4 linked regions of the Drosophila melanogaster genome follow. The protein of the gene in region 1 interacts with the protein of each later gene in a biochemical or structural test. Each region holds a gene or a part of one and is shown on either strand. Other genes may lie near its edges. The genes, in order: His2Av, JIL-1, Tip60 and Parp1.

Region 1 (5,829 bases):
AAGGTCAGCTTTAATCAGGTATATTCGCATTAATGGGAGCATCTGCATATATAGATGATTTCATAAACGATTTGAACTGCTCAACATGTGTTCAACATGCCCCAAATTCTGAAATATTCAAACATATTTCAAATTTGCGGTTGCAAAAAGCGAGAAAAATGCTTATTTGCAGCAGGCAGCAGGAAATGAAAAGCAAACATTGAAAATTCTGAGATTTTATCCATTCCCCCGACTTTGTTTCTATTTTAAAAACTCCAGATCTGCAGTAGTCATCTTCCGCCATCAATGAGTTGGCTTTGTTGTTCCACAAGATCTAAAGATCCATAAATAAAATTGCCCATAAAAGGAAATGCATCTGTATCTGCGCGCCACATTCGCGTTGACCTTTTGAACCCTGCAAGATTTTTGCGGCTTCTTCAATTGTTTTCAATGAGCAAAAAGACGCCGCACGAGATGTGCATGTAAAACCACCCCGTTGTTTGGTGGTTACAAGATCGCCAGTGGAGTACAGTAACGACGCAGCGCACACGGTACAGTCGCAAACCAATCCTTGAAACGGAAGTTGGGCCAGGGCCACAGCTAATCTCAATGTAATTTGGGTTTTCACAATCGCAATGACTTGATAATGTACTCTATTTATAAAGGCACTTTTAGTTCCAAATATATAGTTTAAATATAAAGAGAAGAAAAAGGTGTTTTAAAGATGCTTTACTTGCAATCCCTGTAGTTGAGATCGCCATTCGAGATGCGCTCCCTTTGGCTGCTGCTCGGCTTGGGCCTGCTGGCTGTGAGCCACGTCCAGGCCTCTACGGAGTTTTCCGAAGATCTGCTGGATGAGGACCTCGACCTGTCCGACATCGATGAGAACGAAGAGGAGTTCCTGCGCCTGCTGGAGGAGAAGAACAAGGCATGTGGCCGCAAGTCAAACCACAAATCACACTTAATGCACTAACTGAATTCCATTCGCAGATCAAGGATATTGAGCGCGAGAATGAGATTGCCACCAAGCTGGCCGAAGTGCAGCACAATCTACTCAATCCCGTTGTCGAGGTGGATCTGTGCGAAACGATGAGCTGCGGAGCCGGTCGCATCTGCCAGATGCACGACGAGAAGCCCAAATGCGTGTGCATTCCGGAGTGCCCGGAGGAGGTGGACACTCGCCGCCTGGTCTGCACCAATACCAACGAGACCTGGCCGTCGGACTGCTCTGTGTATCAGCAGCGCTGCTGGTGCGACAGCGGCGAGCCCGGCTGCACCAATCCGGACAACGCGCACATGCACATCGACTACTACGGCGCTTGCCACGAGCCCAGGAGCTGCGAGGGCGAGGACCTGAAGGACTTCCCCAGGCGCATGCGCGACTGGCTGTTCAACGTGATGCGCGACCTGGCCGAGCGCGACGAGCTGACCGAGCACTACATGCAGATGGAGCTGGAGGCGGAGACCAACAACTCGCGTCGCTGGTCGAACGCCGCCGTGTGGAAGTGGTGCGACCTGGACGGCGATACCGATCGCTCCGTCTCGCGCCACGAGCTCTTCCCCATCCGTGCTCCGCTGGTCAGTCTCGAGCACTGCATCGCACCCTTCCTCGAGTCCTGCGACTCCAACAAGGACCATCGCATCACCCTGGTGGAGTGGGGCGCCTGCCTGGAGCTGGATCCCGAGGACCTCAAGGAGCGTTGCGACGACGTCCAGCGGGCTCAGCCCCATCTTCTGGGTTAGGACACAGCCCATTTTCCATATCCACTTCTGTAGTATGCAATAGGTAGTTACTACTTGCTTCCTTAATCCGAAAAATGTCTAATTTAGCAGTTAATTGTGTAAATGCTCGCTATTCAATGAAATATATAACAACTTCTTTGAAATAATACGCATTTTGAAAAACGTCAGGTCAGTCTATTCATTATTATCTTTCGGATGAAAAGCTACAGTTGTGATATTTTGCTCTAGGCATTTACACGTTTATTGGGCTTACAAATACATTGGGTTCGAGCTGCTAAATGCCCTGATTAAAACTGAACTTTAAGCGATACTACTGCACTTTTCTCACAATTATGAAAAACTTGTACTTCTTACAGCTGAAATTAATTACCATCTATGTAGTTGCAATTCTTTACATTCATCGACACAAGCGCAAACATCTCGTCTAGTTTTTTTTTTTTTTTTTTTTTTTTTTGGAAATAACATGATTGGCGTTTTTATTATAGTTTTTTTTATTAAATTTATTCGTGTAATTACTTTGCTCTAAATTAAGTTTTGTTTTTGTTTCATACTCAACCTCGCCAAGGATGCGTGCGGGTAAATACGTTTTGTGTGTTTGTATTTTTTGTTTGTATGTATGTGAGTGTTGGGGAGATGCTAGAATTACATAATTATGTATTACGTTGTATATAAGAAATATATGCTGGCGCACAGAAATGATTACAACTCGTCGGTGTTTTAGCTTGTCTCTGCTGAAATCTGAATTAAACATTAGTGTTGCATGTTTCGAAGGCGTCCGATTGCCGACTGGCTTAGTAGGCCTGCGACAGAATGACGTTGCCCTTCCGCTGCGGATCCTGCACCGTTTCCTCCTTTTTGCCGATCAGCGACTTGTGTATGTGCGGAATGACACCGCCACCAGCGATGGTTGCCTTGATCAGGCTGTCCAGCTCCTCGTCTCCGCGAATGGCGAGCTGTAAGTGGCGAGGAGTGATACGTTTCACTTTCAAGTCCTTCGATGCGTTGCCTGCCAACTCCAGGACCTAAAATGATTGGGAAAACCAAAGAAATTAATCAAAGATTTCAATTGAGGATAAGCAAAAGCTAAAGCAATTTATTTACTTGTATCGCTCATTACCAAAACAAACTTTGAAATCTTTTAAATAAAATTTCTTTAAATAAACATCACAACATTAAAAAAAAAAAACTCAACGGTAAACGTTATATTCGGAAAAAAGGCGGGAAAAGTGTAACTGCCTAATGGCGCAAAAACTCTATAAAACTGTATAATTCTTAGAAAATTAAAAGCGTTATACATTAAATCGAAACTACTGTTATTTAGATTTAAACAACTGATAATGTGCGCCTCGAGCATTTCATGAATTAGATGTACATTTTCATCATTCTCATTCCACACGAAATGTCAATAAGAAAGTGTGTTTTTGAATTGGAACGGGGAAATTCGAAATAACTGTACACAATAAGAAAAGTGGAGAGAATGCAACTGTGGAAAAAAAAATGTTTCCCTTGAATATTTCTGGTAAATGCTGTTTACATTGAAGCGAGAAAAAGTACCACGAGAGAAAAGCGGGAAAACTCGGCGGAAGCACACTTACCTCGGCGGTCAGGTATTCCAATATGGCAGCGGAGTACACGGCTGCAGTGGCTCCGACGCGTCCATGTGACGTAGTGCGGCTCTTGAGATGACGATGGATGCGACCCACGGGGAACTGTCCGGGACATAAGAGGCAGGTAACTGGTTAATTGGCTTGACCGGCTGGCTTGTTTATGTTTTTGTCAACCCCAACCAACCAACGAAGGCGGGCACCCTGTTAGTGTGGTGGAATATGCTCGTTGGCGAGGTGGGTACCGAAAAGGCGCCAAAAACCGAGGTACAGATTGTAAAACTCACCTGAAGACCCGCGCGCGCGGAACGCGATACCGCCTTCGCCTTGGCCTTGCCCGAATCCTTGCCTGCTTTACCGCCAGCCTGCGAATAGACACAGCACAATGCATTTCTTAAAATAACGAATTAAAGCGAATGTGGCACGAGTCGCAGAAGAAAACACAAAATGGAGGCACCGCTGCCAAAGTGAGGTTACGGCCGATTGCCCGCAGCAGCACAATAACAAATGCCCGCCGATTTCGCTGCTCCTTGTTGTTGCGGCCTACGTGGTGTCCACTTTGCGTGCACTTTGTTGTCCGCGTCTCCGCAATCCCCGCATCAATATTTAATTCGCGGGGGGCACGCGCAGTGGGAAAAGCGAGATGCGCTGCCGCTCAAAAATTCACCGCAATATTACCATTTCTGTTCAATCGATTTTTCTGCTGCCTGTAAACTGCGCCTGCTTACGAACGTGACTCTGGGCACTCGGTGATTCTAACTGCCGCGATGGGAATGCCTATTTTGTTGCAACACGAAACCGGAGCGTGCGAGTTGTTTCTACGGAATTCGGTTTCGACTACTTGAAATTTTTTCGGGGAAAAGACGCCGTCAGCGGACGCCAGGGGTGGAACGGAATATATCGATGTGTGGCCAATCGATATGCCCTCACCCCTAGATGGTAGCTTCCTTTTGTGGCCGCACATTGCCAAGTGGCGCCGTTTTGCAGAGCTGTCTATCGTAATATATCCTTGAAATCATAATCATCCTTTTTTATTTTTATGTTTCAATGACTCGGCAACAGCCCTGGAAATACGTCGTTTTTACAAGTAGTCCTACTGGGTTATATTTTTTTTTAAGCTGTCACTCACTTGACAACCCTGAAGGACGCTACTCCCCGCGCCGATTGGCAACCCTGATGGCCCGGCATTTCGAGCGGAATTTGCGAATATTATACTTGGCCGCTATTTAACGACGATCTTGCCCAGAGAATGCCGCGTGTAGCCAAGCCGAAAGCCGCCGCTCCGGCCAAGAAGGTGGTGTCGGCCAAGAAGGCCAAGAGCAAGCTGTACAAGATGCCGGAGAAGGTGAAGGAGGGCACAGTTTTCACCGATTTAGCCAAAGGCCAGTGGCGCATTGGACCCTCGATCGGAGTTGGAGGATTCGGTGAGATCTACGCGGCTTGCAAAGTGGGTGAGAAGAACTACGATGCTGTGGTCAAATGCGTGAGTGCCGCTCGTTTTTTTTTTGTGGAGATTTGCTATTATAATCGTATTTTTAGGAGCCACATGGCAATGGTCCTCTGTTCGTGGAGATGCACTTCTACCTGCGCAACGCCAAGCTGGAGGACATCAAACAGTTCATGCAGAAGCACGGTCTCAAGTCCCTGGGCATGCCCTACATACTGGCTAATGGTTCCGTGGAGGTCAATGGTGAAAAGCATCGATTTATAGTCATGCCGCGCTACGGCAGCGATTTGACCAAGTTTCTGGAACAGAACGGCAAGCGACTGCCCGAGGGCACTGTCTACCGACTGGCCATTCAGATGCTGGACGTCTATCAGTACATGCACAGCAACGGCTACGTTCATGCCGATCTTAAGGCAGCCAACATACTGCTGGGCCTGGAAAAAGGCGGCGCTGCGCAGGCGTACCTGGTGGATTTCGGCCTGGCCTCACACTTCGTCACCGGTGACTTCAAGCCGGACCCCAAGAAGATGCATAATGGCACCATAGAATACACATCAAGGGATGCTCATCTGGGCGTGCCAACCAGACGAGCTGATCTGGAGATACTCGGTTACAATCTCATCGAGTGGCTGGGCGCGGAGTTGCCGTGGGTCACGCAGAAACTACTGGCTGTACCCCCCAAAGTTCAAAAGGCCAAGGAAGCATTTATGGATAACATAGGCGAGAGTCTGAAGACGCTGTTTCCGAAGGGAGTGCCCCCGCCAATTGGGGATTTCATGAAGTATGTCTCAAAACTAACACACAACCAGGAGCCGGACTACGACAAGTGTCGCAGTTGGTTCTCAAGTGCGCTGAAGCAGCTGAAAATTCCAAACAACGGAGATCTCGACTTTAAGATGAAGCCACAGACCAGCAGCAACAATAATCTAAGTCCGCCCGGCACGAGCAAGGCAGCAACAGCCAGGAAAGCAAAAAAAATTGATTCGCCAGTCTTGAACTCATCACTGGACGAAAAAATCTCCGCCAGCGAAGATGATGAGGAGGAGGAGGAGAAGT
Region 2 (6,311 bases), on another chromosome or scaffold:
ATGAAATGTAACAATACATTTGAATGCAGTTTTAATTAATTCGTTATAAGACAACAATTGGACATAATATTTTAAAAGATTTTGCTAACTTTACTTGAGAACCAATCTGTATTTTTCTCTGTGCATTGTGTAATTATTATTGTTAATTTACAAAAGGGTGGGGTTAATGATACAACTCACCCCTCCCCTCCCCCACCATTCTAGCAGCACCCGTTGCCGTGACGATGTTCTTGTGATAATTAACAGCAAACAACAAACACAGCTCACCTATCAATTTGAAGGCAATTATCCAGGAGGCTAACTCGTTGCCCTATCTTTATGTACATACCTACATACATACATATGTATCTATGCTTGGCAAGTTGCATTGCCAAGTTCAAGTAAATAAATTGCCTAGAAACAACAACCAACCGTTTATGCAAACAAGCATGTTTGTGAGTACAGCAAACGCTCGCAAACAGCGTTGCACGCACATTTGTACAAACAACTGACATGGTCACGACTGCACGGCGATGACGAAAAGTGGCACAGTGGTTCCATATGATATTATGAAAGATATAAGCCAGATATAAGAACTATTTAAGAAATAATACTACATCTTAATTATCGAGATAGATAGAAACTTTGATGAATTGAATTTTAATCGAAACTAGAGAAGGTTTAGTTTTTATCTAGATTTATTTTATTCGATTTATAAACAGCTGTTGTGAAAACCTCTTGACAAAAACGTTTACTTCAAAAAGGTGTTACTTTCCACACCAAAATCCAGACCAATGTCCTCAGTAAATAATATTTATTTAAAAATGCAACCGAAAAGTGTCAAATTTAACAAATAACAAGCAGCAACAATAGGTTTTCGACCCACGGTTATCAAATTAGACATTTGGGTGGTGGATATTCTGTCTGCTTTGTGTATATGTATGTAGAGTGTGGTGAGAGGTGAGTACGGCGAGGTTGGGCGATTTCAGGGGAGGTCAGTAGTTTTGGATTTGGCCCAAAGAGCGAACAAAGCCGGGTTGAGTTTTCTGGGTAATCGTGTCAAGGTTAAATGCATGTGCTCCACTTTAACAAAGAACGATAGAGACGGCACTTCATCTGGCATTGACCAGCCACCCTCTGCCGACATTTCAATAAAACCTTGAGACATCCACCCGGTTAAAGTTATCAATTATTCCACCACACTACCATGTTTGATAAGCTCTGTGGCAGCTGCCTTAAAATGGCATGAAATATTCACAGGGAAGAAGTTGCGGTTTAATTTGATATGGACGGAATTATTAAACTATCATATTTAACATAAGTACATCCTGACCTGCAACTTGTAACAAATTTTCTTATCTAGCTTGTGCTTGCAGTTGGCCCGGTCTTCTTTATCACTATCATTGAGTGGAATGACTCACCGTAGTATTTCAGATCGGTGACCGCCTCCAGGTCCCGTTGATGGGCCTCATTGTCCAGATCAAGGGGTGTACTATTGCTGGTGGGCATGGCGTAGGAGGGCGTGGTCGACGAGGAGGCCTTCGAGGCTGCTGCTGCCGCTGCTGCAGCCGCCGCCGCCGCCGCTGCAGCTGCATTGTTGGACTTGGCCTTGGACAAGCTGGAGCTGGATTCATCGATCTCTATCCCGTTCGGCTCATCCTCCTCCATGTCCTGGTCGTAGTACTCCCGCTCGGGATCGCGTCCGTCCTCGCTCTCCGCATCCGATATGCAAACAATATCCGCCACATTTGTGGTGGGCGGGGATGGAGGTGTGGGCGGTGATATGGTCTCGCGGTAAGTGTAATCCCTTGCAGATGCTGAAGTGGTCTTGCTGCTGCTATTGGTGTACTGACCGTTGGTGGCACTGATGCTGTTGTTGTTATTGTTATTATTATTGTAGTTCAAGGTCTTTCCAGAACCAGAGCCGGATCCCTCCGTATTCAGTTTGGACTTTTTCCCATTGGTCATCGTTTCGGAATTGCTATTCTTTCGCGTTTTGCCATTGCCATTGGCTACCAGCTGGCCATTTAGATGATTCCGCACCATTTGATCTGGCTCCTCGTAGGCTAGTGACTCCGATTCACGGGGATGTTGATGATTCTTGAGGCGCGACGTACTTGTACCGCTTAAGATCTCGTAGTTTTGCTTTTGCAAGCGACTCATGGCTAGATTCTTCCGTAAAAGATCCTATGCCTTTAATAATGCTCTACGTGCTCCTCACGTAATCGATGGATATTCCAGGAATTAACAAATAAAAATAAAAAGGTCCAGGGACTGATCGTGGCGCATCGTTGAGCTGGAAAAACAGAAATCAAAGTAAAGACATTTTTTCGAAAATCGCTAACAATTTGTAGACAATCATTAAACTTTTTGACACATTCTTATATGAGTACTGACATAAAGTTGTCATTTTGGCTAGCTAGACTGTTTTATTGTTGTAGTATTTTTAATTAGAAACTGAATTAGTTTTTTCTATTCATGGATGTTCAACAATGCATAGACAACATGTACGATATAAATGTTCCAGTTCACACATTTTAAATACTAAATAAATAATAACTGAATTGTTGAAATTTATTCCGCAAGATGTTTTGAACATAGCTGTTTCTTATTGTGTTCTATTTAGGCAATCTTCACCGTACCTTCCCAATGCCCATTGCCCATTTCTATCCCATTTCTTCATCCACAATATGGTACAGTTTCAACGCAGGCGGGAGTAATTTTCCCGCTGTTAGCGGACAATTGGATGGGGAAACTCATTTCTGAATAGAACACTATTTGGGAGTTCGACTCACCTCGCGAAAGATTATAAGCGCAATATTATAATGCAGACGAAGAAATCCGAATCGGAGTGTGTGTGTGTGTGAGTGGGTGGATCTGGATGGGGAGGGGGAAGAGTGTTGGATTATGCGTGGGGCGGTAGCGATGTGCAACACTGAACGTTCCAATGATAATGTGCACCGATTTATGCAGCACTGGCGTTGGCTTAAATATTATTCAACCAATTCGGTTGCGGTTTCTTTTCATTCTTCTTTTTTGCTTGTTATATTATGCCGTGATTATCACAATCTTTATCAGTCGCGCATTTTTCACTTCCACAGTTAGTTTTTTATTTTTTTTTTTCGATTTCTTATTCTTTACCGTTCTCTTTGCCCACAACTACGTACACATATGCACACTCACACGCTGGCACTTTCTGTATCGGCTGCGTTTTTAAAGCGTTTTTGTTTTCGTCCGCTGATTCCGCTCCGGCGACTGTTGCTCTCGATTTTCAATGGATTTTCCAATTTCCCTGCGTACGCTTGTACTTGTTTTTCAATAGACAATACAGTAACGTTTTGATATTGAGATTGAATGTTTTGTATAATTTGTTTTGTGTTACACGAGAAGGTTTTTACCGCCGCTTTCTACTCGTTTACGCACACACACATTGAAACGCAGGACGCTCTCCGCCATCTGCTTTGCTCTCATTCGTGAACACTTATTAGGTACGGACCACCTTGATGGGAATCGCGTCGATTTCCGTTACACTCGATCAAATCGGGTTTATATCTGTATTATAGTACAATATAATACAATTAAAATCGAGAGAGCCCTAAAACGATTAATGCCGGATAATTGGCTATTTGTAATTTCAACACACAGCACACGAACCGCACGTAGAAATTTTCCCTTTGCTTTTGTGTCACTTACCGTAGCTATCGTTATCGATAGTGTTGACAAGAGGCCAAAAAGCGTGGTGCTGGAAAGCAGCCGTATATCGGTTGGCAGGGATGGTGGAGACTATCGTTTCAAATATTTAAGAATATTATATTTTGATTAACAATTATAATGAAGAATAAATTTAAGGAAAATGTGAAAATTTCGTTTATCAATAGAAAAAATATAAGAATTACCATAAATTTTAGTTTGGTTTTATTGAACTATTTCGTAAGCTGCACGGACGTAAATAAACCTTAAAAAGTAACCATAATATTTGACAAATTCTTTCTCGCCAAGTCGGGAACTGTGCATCCATCTTTCGGATAACCAACGGGCAGTAGGATGAGTAATTTTTCATTGACGGGTCGCCCGAGCAGGTTTCTCAAGGCTGGACCGCAGTTCAAAGGAGTGGTGACCAGCGATGCGAGTCCTGCCGCTTGAAGGGCACACAAAAGGATACCGGCCGCAATCGAAGTGGATATCTCGTTGTAGTAATGCCTCCTCATTCGCTTTCCATTCTCCGACAATCCATAGGTCTGCTTGAAGATCAGTATAAGGTACGGCGCCTCGGTGAGATACTCCTTGACATGATTGGTTTGCAGGGGTCGCAGATCGGTGACCCACTGCGGATGCATCCTCTGGCTGTAGTTGACCAGCTCCTCCTGTTCCACAATTTCCCGAATGGATCGCTTGAGTTCCGGCTCCTGTACGACGCAGTACGTCCAGGGTTCTGTGTGTGCGCCACTGGGAGCTGTTCCCGCCGCCCGAATGCAGTCCTCTATCACGCTGAGATCCGGTTTGGGATGGCTATTAAAGGAGCGAATGCTACGGCGTCCACGCATGAGTTCATATAAGCGTTTGGCTCCATTAGGGTTGAGATTCTGGCCGGGAACGAAGGGCACATGGGGCTTATCCTCCAGAGCCGGTTGCAGTTCATCGCCAAGATCGGCAAAGTGTTCAACTGGAAAATAGAATAGAATAGCTTTATGTTCACCGTGGATAATCTTAAAACTTACCCTCCTCCTCGACTTGTTCATCTAAATTATATGTTTTTAATACGCGATTCCCTTTAAAAAACAATCTTTTTACGATCCATATCAGCGCCAGAGTGATAAATAAACTTGGCCAATGCTTGAGTAGCTTGGAGCTGCTGATCAGTTCGTCCACATCCATGGTGCTTCAAGATGTAACTGCTTTTGCGACGGAGAGAAAGTGGCTTTGCTTTTGCGCTCGGATTGGCTTATCACTTGGTTAAGTGGGTCACGGCTATTGCTGATAGCGATGGATGCTGGTGGATGGGTTTTGGTTTCCACTTCAGTTGTTGTTCCGGCAGCAGTAGGTGCAATGGCTGCCCTTGTGATGCTCGCACATCCTCTGTTGTCCCTTTTCGTGGGCACTCCTATCCGACATGCATTTTGGATTCTTAAGCATCTGATTGGGCTCACCCGGTTTTCGTTTTTGCGGCGGAATCGGTCGGCGTGTATTGTTGAGTGGAATGGCCTTCTGGTGAACCAATTGGCGCTTGTGCACCTCTCTCAGAATCTCGATGATCCGCCACTTGGCATCGAAGAATATAAAATCGGGAGCAGTGGTTAGCTCGGTACGTATCATATCGCAAAGCATCTGCACTTGCTGGCTATTCGCGGATTCCTGACCGGATGGTTCCTTCTCCATCAAGTGAGCCGGTTCTTTGCTGGATTCAGAAATATCTGAATTTTGCGGACTGGATACGGAATTTCGCGTAGATTGTGGTGGTGTTTCCCGACACGGGGGTTCACACTTTGAATTTTCGGCTATCCAGGGGCAGGAAACTGGGCTTTGTGAGGATTCCACTTCCGGCTTGCAGGGACAGGTCAAATTGGTGGATACTAAATCCTTCTCATGGCTGGACATCTTGCAATTGGAATGATGATGACTGGTTTTATCCTTACTGTTTTGTATGTTCTTCTGCTCCGATGGAGAGAGTGCGTCTTTCTGTTCCTGATCCTCCAACCCGCTGATTTTCTCTTCTACCGAAACTTCATGATCAGCGACTTTTTCTGCCTCCTGAATTTCCTGCTCTATGGGATTTTCTTGCTTCGCATTTTCTTGATCAGGAATTGGTTTGATCTTCTTGTTTGGCCGGTCTTGGGGGTCTTTTTTGGGCCTCTTGGTTAGTAGATTGCCGGGAAAACCGGCCAGAGGAAAATCCGTGAAATTGGTCAACTTTTGGCACAACATCTCTGGGTTGGCTATCGGATTTTGCAAAAGTTTTCCGGCGGCGAGTGGGCTAGTTCCACTGGCAGGAAGATCCTTGTCGAAGTGTATATTAAGATGTGGCACCAGGAAAAGAAATTCATTATAGTAGCGAATTGAAGGACTCATTATCTCTCCACACTTCCTTCGAGCACGTTCGATAATGGTGTATTCCCGCTCAAAGAGCGTCCTTAGCTCCTCCAGACAGGATCTCAGTTCCGAGACGCTTCTTCCCGGAAATGAGCGCACCATTCTGTTGTAGCAGTCATCGTCGATATCTTTGTTACCATAGTAGCGATTATGGCGGTTGTAAAGGCTATTATGCTTGCTATAGAGACGTATAAGCTTCCTGACATCATGATCCTCCAATGAGATATGGTTTCCATTTGTCTCAC
Region 3 (6,377 bases), on another chromosome or scaffold:
TTTCTCCTTTCAAATTGAGGTGACTCACATTCTCCCGCTTTTGACGTTTGCGAGCCGCGAAAAAATTTTGCTTCTGGTTTCGACCCATTTGTCAATATCAATACCAAGTTATCAGTCCACTGAATATGTTTAAAAAAAATTAGGCAAGCGTTGTGTGTTTTCTAAACGAAACGAATAGTTAAAACGTGTTCGTCGCCTAACTGGCAACGCTGTCGCGCGAGAGTCGCCGGACATTTGGTGCTTGGAAGGGAAGGTGAAATATGCTGCTAAAGAAGTGAAATTGAATTGAAAGGGAATTACTTTTTACAGTACTTGGTTTCCGTGCTGCAAGGAATTGACTTGTTTTTAAACGTTAACTTCATTTGCATGGCTTACATTTTTAGCCCCAAAATCAATAAGAGCTGGTTTCCCAACTATCGGTAAGCAAAATCAAACAACTTATTTCAGTTTTCTAGAAACTTTAAAAACCTGTTAGTTTATGTAAGGAAACCTACATATCTTGTTGTTATTTACATTTTCGAATTATTTTCATTTTTTTTTTATATAGTTATTAATAGCCAAATTTGACTCGAACATAGCTACGCGCCTATCGTTACAAAAATCTCCGTTAGCCGACTTCAAATGCTACCGATAGCAGCTGCGAAAGCGATAGCGTCGGCAATCGAATCCGAATTTCCCACTTTAAAAACTAAGAAGTTTTTGTAAGCCACTATGGAAACTCCACCCACTCCCACCACGACCACACCGCCATCATTGACAACTGAGGGCACCATGGACGACATCCAATACCTGCTGCACCTGGAGGCGATGCGCCGTTTTCAGGAAGACAGCCGCAATGTAAAGCGCCAGGTGGAGGAGCAAGTACGCATTTGGCTGGACGCCAAGTGTGAGTATCAGCGGGACTTTGGGCGGCTGGCGAGGCTCCTGAAGTGCGGAGCCCTGCAGGCGGCCGTGGATGCCCATCGTGTATCTGATGTGAATCAAGTCGACCAGGCGGCCAAGGATATCGCTAGTTTGCGATCCAAACTGGGCAGTGATCTGCGTCCCGCCATTCTGGACTCCAACGATGTGAAGCAGTGCCTGGAACATCTGAACACCACCCACAAACCGCGCCTAAATCTATGCCGGCAACAACGGGAGTTCGCCCAGAACCAAGAAGCTCTAAGAAGTTTGCGTACCGCCGTCGATGGATTGGAGAATGGTATGGAGATGGGCATGATACAGGCAATGGACCGCCTTGTGGAGGATCTTCTCCCACCGCGGGAAACAAACAACTAGCCGGTCGTCTCAAAAGTATATATAATATTGTATGATATAAACTAGTTTATAACATTAAAAACGGAAACTGTAAATGAAAACTACAAGCTACAACGAAGCCAGGATCATCCGATGAAGAATATTGGTAGCGGAAATCTAAAAACAAAAAAAAACGGATTCAAAGCTGTTTAAACTCAGTTATTTATACGGAGAAGATGAGGAGATTACCATTTGGAGCGCTTGGACCAGTCTTTGGGTGTCCAGTGCAGGCATTTCGAGTCGATGCGGATCTTGCGCTTGTCCATTGCTCGCCGGTGTTGCTCGATGATAACCCGGTTGATGCACACGATGTACTGGCCCTTGTAGTAGTTGATCAGGTTCAGGTTCTGCAGCGTTGAGATCACGTCCTCTTTTTTGATGGATGTGCATTCGCAGATGTCGCTGTGAAGAAAAATTTTGGGAGCATGATTAATCTATGTTTCGGCAATGAAGCACAATCTCTGTGGATTGAAAATTGTATTACTTTAAGCTTAGAACTAGCCATACTTTATAGTTATAGTGGGCTTTTCGCCGTCCGTGCTCGGGTTTTGGCTGATAAAGATCTCCAGTATGGTTTGCGCCCAGTACGATCGATAGGACAGCAAACCCAGATCAGACAATGGTTTCTCCGGCGATCCCGTCTTGCCCTCGAACTTGGACAACTCGTAGCTGAACTCAATGAGCAGCTTGCCGTAGCCCTTGCGCTGATACGGAGGCATTGTGAGAATGCAGGCCACGTTGTAGTCCTCTGTGCTCTCCTTCTCCTTGGAGAAGTACCCTACTATGTGGAAGCCGCGCGAGTCGAACTCTGTCATTACGTAGAAGAGAAACGGATCGGTATCATAGTAGAGTGTCTTGTGGTCGAGAAAGAGTTTGGCAAGCAGGCACAAGTTCTGGGCATACACCTTGTTTTTGCGTCCATCGATTTCAAAGAAGGAAATTGTATGTTTGCGATAGATCTCGTTTCCCGGTGGATGCCTAAGATTGCACTTGGACAGGTGCCTCTCCAGGCACTTCCTGCTCTTCCTGTACTTCAGGCAGAACTCGCAGATGTAGATGCAGGGCATTTGACACAGCTCTTGCGGATAGGGTGAGAAATACCAGGGCTTAATGCGATGCCTGCCCAGCTCGATCATCTCCACGTTCTTCATGCGGGTGACCACGTCGTCCTGGTGCGTAACCATGCTGCCTGATTGCCTCGGCGTGGGCGTCTTGCCATCCTGCGATCCATCACCATCATCATTGGCCGCTCCGCTTATTAAACCGTCGCCGGTCACATGCACGGGCGTAGCCGTGGGTGTCTGCGGAGTTGTAGGATGCGGATGTGACTGCTGCTGTTGACTGGTCAGACTGTGGTGTCCATGGGCCGAGCCTCCGTGGTTTTTTCGCTTGCGATTGATGCGTTTCTGAAGGGCTGCGGCCAGATTGTTGCCATTCACAAGCTCTCCCCCACTGCTTGGTGTTCCGGGTGGAGCCACAGAGTTTGGAATGCCAGCAGGGGGAGGAACACTGCCTGATGCACCAGTAGGAGTCTGGGGGATGGCTGCCAGAGCCCCGGAACCAGGGTGTTGCGGTGATGTAGGCCGAGAAACGCTGCCCGCTAGGGAATGGTGGCGCTGTGGCGTGGTCACTCCAGTGCTGGTGCCTGTTTGTGAGCCGTCTCTCCGCGGAAATTGCACCTTTCGCGTGTACAGATCCTCCTCGTTGACCCACTCGTCCAAGCGCTTGTTGACTGCGGATTGGCAGTTATACTAAATATGCTCCCACTGGACGACTTGGTACTCACAGTCCACATAGTGCACGTAAAACTGCCGGCGCCCATCCAACTCCTTGATGCTCACAATCTCCGCTAGTGGCCAGTCGTCCGTTTTGTGCATCCTGACGGGTAAACGACATCCCTCGGTTAGGGCGGCCTGCAAGTTTGCGGTTAAAACCATTAGAATGAACACCCAAAACACGCCAAGGCGTAGCGGAACCCACCGTTGACTCGCATATGGAGGCCACATCGTCGTCGAACTCATATTTGTGGTTAATTTTCATTTGTTTATATTTTACGCGTTTTTTTTTTCCTAAAACAGCAGTATTGCCAGATAGCGAAACGTAAATAACTATCGACCAATCGATTACCGCCACAGTGAATCAGCGGTTTAAAAATGTTGATGACATGGGCAGTGCTGCGCAGCGTCGCGTCGCCTTTTCAAAGTGCTGCACAACACAACAACAATTCCAGAGAGTTTTTCAATTCGGGTTCGGTATTTTTTCTCATGTGCCTACTGTGCAATTAAACAATTTCGCCCGCTTACAAACAACTGTAACATATTAAGCACAACCGTTCGACTCAATTGCAGTTGCTAGAACTTGAGTGCGCAGTTATGTGCTCCCTTCTTTTCAGTTGCCAAACCAAAAAATAAAAACGCTGAGAAGGTCAGAGAAATGTACACAGGCGTAAATTTGTGTGCGTGTGTGTGGGTGCGTACATTCGTGTGCGCTCGTGTGAGTGCGCAGAAAGTTATACAGCTGTCATCGACTGGCGTATTTATCAATAAATGACTACTGTGATCCGCGGAAAACTTCAGTTACTGGGTAATTGTGACCACAACTGCTGGGCAACTGTGCCGCAGTGCCCCAATGCTGACGAGCTGAGCGGGAAATTGGTGAAAAAGCTGTGTCAAAATGACGTGTTTTGCGATAGTGTTGCCACTGACAACAGCCGCAGGGCTGCCAACTCGATGGGCATATCCCACTAATTAGTTGCAAAACGGGCAGGCAATCTCGTGTTGATTAGTAAGATGCAAGCCTAGAGCAAACGCCGATTTAGCAATCTCAACGGCTTGCCCCTACAAACAACAAACAGCATTTGTCAACCCTGGCACGCAGCGTAGTTAGCAACACTGCTTTTTAGCCAAAAAAAAAAAAAAATAAAAAAAATGAATATGGAAAGAGACCAGTGCTTTTTAAAGAAATTCGAAGTCAGTGGGCCGCAAGGGGTCGCCAAAGACTAAACAGACGCACCTGCTACCACCCACCGCCCCTTGTCGCTCGTCCGCATGACCAGAACAACAACAAATGCTGCAAAACACCCAGTCAGTGGTCCAATGTCTCAGTTTCAGTTTTAGTCTCAACTTCATCCCCATTTCCCAATCAATTGCAGATCCGTGCGCACACATTTCCGTATTCCGGTCTGTTTGCGAGCAATCCGCATCCCCGTGCCCAGGAACCTACGTAAATGCCGCGAGCAAAGGTTTGAGCCGGAGGAGAGCTACTGACGACAGGCCTGTCAAGTGCAGCAGGAGTCCAAACTGATGCGCAATAGGTGGGCTCCCCTGTGCCTCAAACCGTCTGGAAGTCGAGAGGAATCGTTAGGAATCGGCGGAACAGCCTGCAGAGCACTTGCAGTCGCGGTGGCAACCACACGGCGGCTGGGCAGCTGGGCTACCTAGAAACATCGCGAAGAGAAGAAACAGTTTGTAAGCAGTTAATGGGAATGCGAGATATACCCGTTTACTAAAACAAACATTCCCCTCTTCTCACACGCCCTAACAGATTCGAGGAATTCGAATGGCATTTGTTTTTCTCCTTCGTTGCATGCCACCAAACGAAAGAAGATGAACAATGAACAAACGCCGTCATCATCGGACACACCGGCGGATCGTGTGGCATCTGGTGGAGCAGCTGCCAAACTGCCAACGATCATACCGGACACGCCCATCGTCTCGATTGCCGCTGGCACGATGAGCGAGAGCACCACGACGACCACCGTCACCAAAACAACGCCGACGCCGTTCCCACAGGAGCAGCTTATGACCATGATGTCAGACCATGTGGCGAAGGCAGACGCGCAGCTTGACGAGGCCTGTAGGAACCAGGGGGCCAAAGACGAGGACAGCCAAGGAGCGGCACCAGTGGCTGCCAACCATGTAGCCACCAGCGGCAGTAGCAGCAGAGGCAATGACCCCAAGAAGTCATCATCCCCTAGTAATAGCCATAGCTCTGGTAACCACGCAGCCACGGCAGACGCTGCCAAAGGATCCGCAGCAGAAGCAGCAGCAGGAGATACGTCCTTCTCGCAGGTCTTTGCCATGCTAAAGGATTCGCCCAGCGCTGAACTGTCGCGACCAAACCGCAGGGTACTCCAGTACGGAGCCACTGCCAAGGGCAAGACCCAGGACGATCAGAATGTCGGCAAGCGACAGAAGAAGAAAAAGGTAAGTGCGCTCTGGCTGAGTTGCATCTTAAGGTGGAAATATAGTGCATGTTAAGCAGAAACCGAGTTAAGATATTGTTTTATTAAGAAAAAGGTATAGTTATGTTTGTTACTCGCAAAATTTCACATTTGTGTACGTTCTGGAGGCTCCAAAGCTCTATGGTGTTTGGACTCCATATCTTATGCATGGCCAGGCTTGAATAGAGCTCTACCAGGGCGACTAAGTTGAGAAACAACTAAGTAAACGTAAAATTTGAAACTAATTTCGATTTTGGGTGGAATTCCAGTATTGGACAGCAAGTTGTCCGATCTTTACGTTACCACCAAAACCAAGGTATACATAAATTAGATATAAATATTGTTTATTTGCACACTAAGCTATAAACTAAAATAGATTCTTACGCTTGCGGTCCATTAAAGTTGTCGAAAATGAAAATGCCGAAATCCCCTTAAAACATGACCTTTGGAAAAAACTTTAAGTGAGCCGATTACTCACTCACAAACACTGTTTTATCGAAAACCGAATTTTATTAAAAAAAAAATAAATATTGACAGTCAAATTGCATCCCCCTAATGAATACATACTCACATACATACATATATGTATGCGAATAGAAGCCAAAGTACCGTTTACGAAGTTAATGGCAAAGAATTCGAAAATGATGTAGAAATAGACCAAGCATACTGTTATCTCGTTCTGACTGACTGGGATTGTGGCTTTCGAAATAGTGCCGTTACATTTGGTCCCATCAAGTAATCGCCACACAGGAACTTCAATTTCTGATCGCAGTCGGTTTTTTGACCAGCGCCTTCGATAATTATTGAAATCAAGACCCCGAATCGGGCAGAAGGAACGGATAAAACCGCAAAGCGTTTG
Region 4 (5,926 bases), about 23 Mb from region 1:
TAGAAAAAGATGATAAAGATGATTTAAATTTTAGAATACAAAAAGATTTAACTCTTTACAATCACGCGGTCAAAAAAAGTGAAGTCAAAAGTGTAAAACATATTCAGTTGAGCCAAAAAATTAAGATTTTTTGTTATGTTTTTGAAAAAAGGATATAAAAACAAATTTAAGAGATCAGAAACTTTGCTATTTAACAAATAACTGATCTATTCATACATACAAATTTATTTAAGTCGGATTGCATATAACAAAGACCCTAGAATAACAAGATGAGTAACGCCATACGATTTTTTGGCACACGATATTTTCGCCGTGGCTCTAGAGGTGGCTCCAGGCTCTCTCGAATTTTTGTTAGAGAGCGAGAGAGCGGAGAGCGCTACAGCGAACCGCTCTTTTCTACGCATACAGTGATAGCAGACAACTTTATGTGTGCACACGTATGCTCATGCATTGTAAATTTGACAAAATATGCCCTTCACCGTAGAAGTTCTTAGACTTTAAATCTATATTATTTTTGATCAATTGGCACCATGCGAAAAATTCTTGTTTTGCATTGCCTTAACGTTATTATTATTTGAAAATAGATTAGAAATAGCCAAATCTATGTACATAATATCACAAAAATAAATTTCAAAAATGACTTTATATAAGAATATTTGTCATTAGAGTATTCATCTTGCGGCGTGTGAAAAATTAATAAGGCAATGATTGTTGAGTGCTTGTGTCCGCACTTCGTGCCTCAAGATATGAACAAAGCAAAGACACTAGAATAATTCTAGTGTCTTTGATGTGACTTTTGCAATAAACAGTTTTCATATTTTTATTTATTTTACAAATTTGTATTTTCTACTTCGTATTATTTTTATGAAATATTTATTTCTCGATGTAATGTATTCCTTTTGTTATAAGTAGTTATAATAATTTATATTTTACTTCCTTTAATTATTTAGCATACTTATTAAGTCATTTGACTTAATATGATTTATATATGATAATGATCCATTTTTATTATTTAAAATGCACATTAGATTCAGTTGTTTTTCAGTATGTTATTTAAATAACTGACGACTGAAAAATCGAGCAGTATATAATAAAAAACAATAGTTAGAAAAATAACTTAATTGGGGAATGTGGAAATGTTTTAATGTTAAACATTAAAATATTTCAAGTCGACTCGAAGGTCATATACGTAAATATAAGACCCCATTACAATTGTAATGGCCTCCCCGTGGTGTTCCCTGGGTACCGACTATTACACATATTACACATAAATAATTATCAACATAAATATAAATATGTAAACGGTAGCTAATTCGAGCGGCGATTTTAACAAACGAATTTAAAAAGCTTTAAAATTAAAAAATTTTAAAATTAAAATTAAAATTTTAAAATTATAATAAGAAGGGCGCGAATTTTTAAAAATTATTTTATTTCATCATATTGCTACGAAATTGGCAAAAAACTACCCTAATATGTACAATGTAAATTCATTTCTTTGATCAGAATTGATTTCGGCCCGAAAATCGTCTTCTAGCACAACACGCACACATATACGCGTTCTCGTCTCTTGTTTTTACTCACACAAGCAAGCAAATTCTATTTTTAGATTTCTTATGTTCTCAGCGTGAGCGAGCGGAAAGAGAGCAATTTTGGCCGTCACCAAAAAAGTGGCTGCATAGTGCCAAACCAATGTATGGCCGTTACGCATCTTGTTATTCTAGTGTCTTTGCCAAAACTAATGGTTGGGGGAGTGGCATATCCATAAGTCCATTAGACTTAAGCACATGCCTACACACAGCTTCTTATTATAGAAGAACAACACTAGTAAACCAAAAGCAATCCTGACTGGAATAAGCCCAAAGTCGTATACAGGATGATAATCGAAAACTTTATTTTAAGATTTCAATAAACAAAGTCGTGAGGATCTAAGAGCGTTTGTATCCAATAGCGAATGAACTCGAGTCCAAGAGAAATGCAAAGACAAATCAATGTTAGTAACTCCAAAGCTCTGTTTATTTCATTGGAACTCCAAAATCCAAAGCCCATATTTATAAAGCTCGAGGCCGAGGATTCAAAGTCAATCAATCCATATCAATTTGTTGAGTTCAGTTTCAGACCTTAATTAAAACGGTCGGTGTTATTATTCAGTAAGAACATAATTACCATTCCTTCTTAATCTTCCAAATGACCACCCTTTCTTGTTAAACTAGCTGGTGTATAATCGACACAGAATTTTAATGTTGCCGAATTCAATTACAAAGTTATATAGTTAACAGTCGTACGTCTTATAACAGAATACAGCTTAATTACGGAATGAGCTCCTGTACAAGGTCTTTAGAATCATTGGAAATCGTCTATAATAATATTTTTGTAGTCTTTAACATCGATATACAATTTTATTATTTAGGAAAATATCGCCAACATAATTCGATAAATAATAAATGTCTTGAAATTGACTTCCTTTAAAGTGTAATATGGATATTGAATTACCTTATCTTGCTGAGTATGCAAGAACTGGACGAGCCACTTGCAAAGGATGTAAAAGTACTATATCTAAAGATACTCTTCGGATTGCTGTCATGGTTCAAGTAAGTTACTATGTGGTACATACATACGTAAGTAGTCTGCAGATAAAAGATTGAAAATGAATTTGATTAAACTGATACTGATTTACGAAACTTTAAAAGATCCCGATTCGCCGTTAGTCCCATCGGTCGTCGACAGCTGCGGCATGTAATTGCCAGCGGTAAATCGTGTAGCGGTGGGGGCACAAATACTTGCGTCGCTCACCCACAGGGTGCCAGTGGCTTGCTGCAGTTCTCTGGCCCAGTGTGCGTGTGGCAATGCGTGCGGCCGAAGAAACGAAAACAGGTCCTCAAACATCACGTGAAATCGAAACTAGCGGGAACGACAGCGGGACTGACATTGGTACTGACAGTGGGACCGACATTGGGACCGACAGTGGGTCCGACATTGGGACCGACAGTGGGACCGACAGCGGGACTGACGGTGAGACCGACAGCGGGACTGACGGTGGGACCGACAGTGGGACTGACAGCGGGACCGACAGTGGGACCGACAGCGGGACTGACGTGGGACCGACAGTGGGATTAACAGTGGGACCGACAGCGGGACTGACAGTCGGACCAACAGTGGGACTGACAGTGGGACCGACAGCGGGACCGACAGTGGGACCGACCCTTCATTTCTTCTACCGTCACGCTTCAACCTATAAAAATGTTGCTTGTGAGTCGCTCACCCAAAGGGTTATTTCGCAGCAGGCGAAACACTCGGATATTTTTTATTGCCGAAAGTAGAGTGTCAAAAAACACCCGGGGGTATAGACACCCAGTTGGTGGGTGCGGGTGTACTAAGAGTGCCAGTGGCTTGCTGCAGTTCTGTGGTTGGGGCCGCAAAAATTGTAAGACCAGCTGAATTTTCGCCATGTCCTCACATGGTGATGATCGTTCTGAAACAAACTTTCACAGAGCGAAACATGAATACTAGCTTTTATAGTTTTCGAGATCATAGCTTTCATACAAAAGGACAAGGCCAATCAAGAATACCATGTCCGTCTGTCTGTCCGTATGAACGTCGAGATATCAGGAACTATAAAATCTAGAAGGTTGAGATTTAGCATACAGATTCTAGAGACATAGATGCAGCATGACCCATGTTGCCACGGCAACTCTAACGCCCACAAACCGCACAAAACTGCAACGCCAACCCTTTTGAAAAACGTGTTGATATTTTTTTTTTTCATTTTTATTAGTTCTGTAAATTTCTATCGACTTGCCACGCCCACTTTAAAGCCCTAAAATTGCACAAAACTGCCACGCACACACTTTTGAAAAATCGTTTTATTATTATTTTTTAATTGAAACGGTTACACCAAACGAACGAAAGACAAAGAAACTATTTTATTGTATTTCTTATTTTTTAGTCTGCATTTCATGATGCCAAAGTTCCGAATTGGTTTCATAAAACCTGCTTTTTTAAAAACCAGCGTCCCAGCTCAGTAGGAGACATACAAAACATTGGAAATCTCCGATTTGCCGATCAAAAGGAATTAACGGATCTTGTGGGTTAGTATTTAAAATTGATCTATATCAATTTAAAAACATTTTGAAATGTACTTAGAAAATATACAAGAAGTTATAAGCGCACAATTAGGAAAAAAGCGATCGAAGGCTTTTAACTTAGCATTAAAAGACTTTGGGATTGAATATGCAAAATCTAGTCGATCGACGTGTCGTGGATGTGAACAAAAAATAAACAAGGATCTAGTTCGCTTACGTAAAACTGTTTATGATACTGAAGTTGGTATGAAGTACGGAGGCCAACCTTTGTGGCATCATTTGGAATGCTTCGCCCAATTGCGCTCTGAGCTTGGCTGGTTTGCGTCAGGTGAAGATATGCCAGGATTTCAGAGCTTAGCAGATGATGATCAAGCGAAAGTTAAAAACGCCATACCGTAAGTTAATCTCACATTGAATTTCTATTAACTGTTCTGTAACTGTTCTGCATTGCTATTATTAAGTTATCCCTCTTAAAGAAAATAAGCTTGATTATACTGAAGATTGTAAACTGAAATAGATAACTGTAATTTGATCCACTAAGTATTCTGATCTCTTCTTGGTCATTCCTTAGTTGGGGATGCCCTTCAACTATATAGGTACAATAGTGTATATTCTTTGTTAAAAAATATTTATCAGGTAAAGGCAACATTTCCGGCACTAAAAAAATTAAATAATCGATCCCACCCTAAAAGATAAGACTCGAATTGTCCATGTCCGTATGAACGATGTGATTGTGGGAACTATAAAACTGGGTTGCGATTAAACATGCAGATCCGAGTGAAGCGGGCATATCAAAAGTTTTTTGACAATTGTAGATTGTAGAGGAAATCAACTATAACTTCGCCTGTAGTTTGTCGAAAAGTCAAGTGAATTTAACAATGTTATTTAATATATGTAAGTCGACCTTAATCGATGGGCATTGGTTGTATCGCCGCAGGAAAATAATGTAACTATTTTTCGCTATATTTAGGCTGGGTCGTGATTATTTGAGCGTAAATGTAACAGCTGAGTTAAAATTATACTGGAAAGGTACATACACTAGTGGGCATAAGTATTTAGACACCATTAGCTTGAAACTGCCGGGCTTTTCATAGTACAGTCAAATAAATAAGTAAACTATTGATGATAAAACAAAAAGTGCAATTACAGTTACACACGAAGGGTAAGTTTGGCTGTTTACCTTTTCAATTATCCTTGTGCTTATAAGAAAGCTAGACAGGCAACGATTTGGGCCGTGGCAAAAGTATTTAGACACATTTAATTAGTTCGCATTGATCTGTTGTTCGAAGAATATCAAATTTTCGACTTTTTTTTTAGATCATTTGAACATTTTTTCTTGATAACGTGGGACTGCCTACTTTTATTTCATTCATAAATTTGTTAAACATGGGGAAAACAAAGAAACTGAGCGAATTTATAAAAAATTGAATAATAATTAAGTATAACTCTGGTATTTCGGTACAAATTATCATTGATTTATACAAAATTCCACGGGCAACGGTGCATTACCAAATAAATAAATATAAAAAAACACACACAACCAAAAACGTTGCGCGTAGTGGCCGACCACGTAAAACAACTCAAAAGGGCGATGGTTATATTATACGGAAGTTTAAGCAGAATGTTCTACAAACTCCCCGATCGGTTGCCAAAGAACTAAAAGAAGGAACAGAAATCGATATCAGTGAAGGAACGTCTTAAGGAAGCCGATTTTGGAACATATGTTAGCAGAGTTATACCACAATAACTCTACAAATAAGTTAAAACGCCACGACTTTGCCAAAAAATATGTTGGACAGCCAGCATCATTCTGAAACAATGTTTTGTGGAGCGATGAAAGCTCTTTT

What was found.
Region 2: of the proteins of His2Av (region 1) and JIL-1, one has a biochemical effect on the other in vitro, tested with the Drosophila melanogaster proteins (one study listed by BioGRID).
Region 3: of the proteins of His2Av (region 1) and Tip60, one has a biochemical effect on the other in vitro, tested with the Drosophila melanogaster proteins (one study listed by BioGRID).
Region 4: the proteins of His2Av (region 1) and Parp1 form a complex in vitro, tested with the Drosophila melanogaster proteins (one study listed by BioGRID).

Annotation. Positions count from the first base shown.
Region 1 is NT_033777.3:26,865,271-26,871,099, reverse strand, and holds His2Av (histone H2A variant), read right to left. Parts: upstream 4,172-5,829; 5' UTR 4,008-4,171; coding exon 4,005-4,007; intron 3,692-4,004; coding exon 3,614-3,691; intron 3,432-3,613; coding exon 3,318-3,431; intron 2,745-3,317; coding exon 2,514-2,744; 3' UTR 2,414-2,513; exon of another isoform or gene 2,359-2,413; 3' UTR 1,880-2,358; downstream 1-1,879. Other genes in the region: SPARC (secreted protein, acidic, cysteine-rich), read left to right, coding at 746-907, 970-1,722; ball (ballchen), read left to right, coding at 4,576-4,809, 4,866-5,829. UniProt on the Drosophila melanogaster protein: Variant histone H2A which replaces conventional H2A in a subset of nucleosomes. Nucleosomes wrap and compact DNA into chromatin, limiting DNA accessibility to the cellular machineries which require DNA as a template.
Region 2 is NT_037436.4:11,089,498-11,095,808, forward strand, and holds the start of JIL-1 (JIL-1 kinase), read right to left. Parts: upstream 3,697-6,311; 5' UTR 2,775-3,696; intron 2,360-2,774; exon of another isoform or gene 2,276-2,359; 5' UTR 2,143-2,275; coding exon 1,401-2,142; intron 1-1,400. Other genes in the region: Iyd (iodotyrosine deiodinase), read right to left, coding at 3,936-4,642, 4,698-4,854; CG46439 (uncharacterized protein), read right to left, coding at 4,996-6,311. UniProt on the Drosophila melanogaster protein: Phosphorylates 'Ser-10' of histone H3. May regulate gene expression by establishing or maintaining the structure of more open chromatin regions. Also required for normal polytene chromosome structure, for oogenesis and for viability throughout development.
Region 3 is NC_004354.4:4,113,517-4,119,893, forward strand, and holds Tip60 (Tat interactive protein 60kDa), read right to left. Parts: upstream 3,972-6,377; 5' UTR 3,337-3,971; coding exon 3,277-3,336; intron 3,210-3,276; coding exon 3,083-3,209; intron 3,029-3,082; coding exon 1,804-3,028; coding exon of another isoform or gene 1,794-1,803; exon of another isoform or gene 1,781-1,793; intron 1,699-1,780; coding exon 1,486-1,698; intron 1,414-1,485; coding exon 1,413-1,413; 3' UTR 1,284-1,412; downstream 1-1,283. Other genes in the region: Nsun2 (NOP2-Sun domain family, member 2), read right to left, coding at 29-88; dgt4 (dim gamma-tubulin 4), read left to right, coding at 712-1,278; tyf (twenty-four), read left to right, coding at 4,902-5,501.
Region 4 is NT_033777.3:3,583,528-3,589,453, reverse strand, and holds the start of Parp1 (Poly-(ADP-ribose) polymerase 1), read left to right. Parts: upstream 1-2,399; 5' UTR 2,400-2,474; coding exon 2,475-2,588; intron 2,589-3,943; coding exon 3,944-4,085; intron 4,086-4,140; coding exon 4,141-4,474; intron 4,475-5,926. UniProt on the Drosophila melanogaster protein: Poly-ADP-ribosyltransferase that mediates poly-ADP-ribosylation of proteins and plays a key role in DNA repair.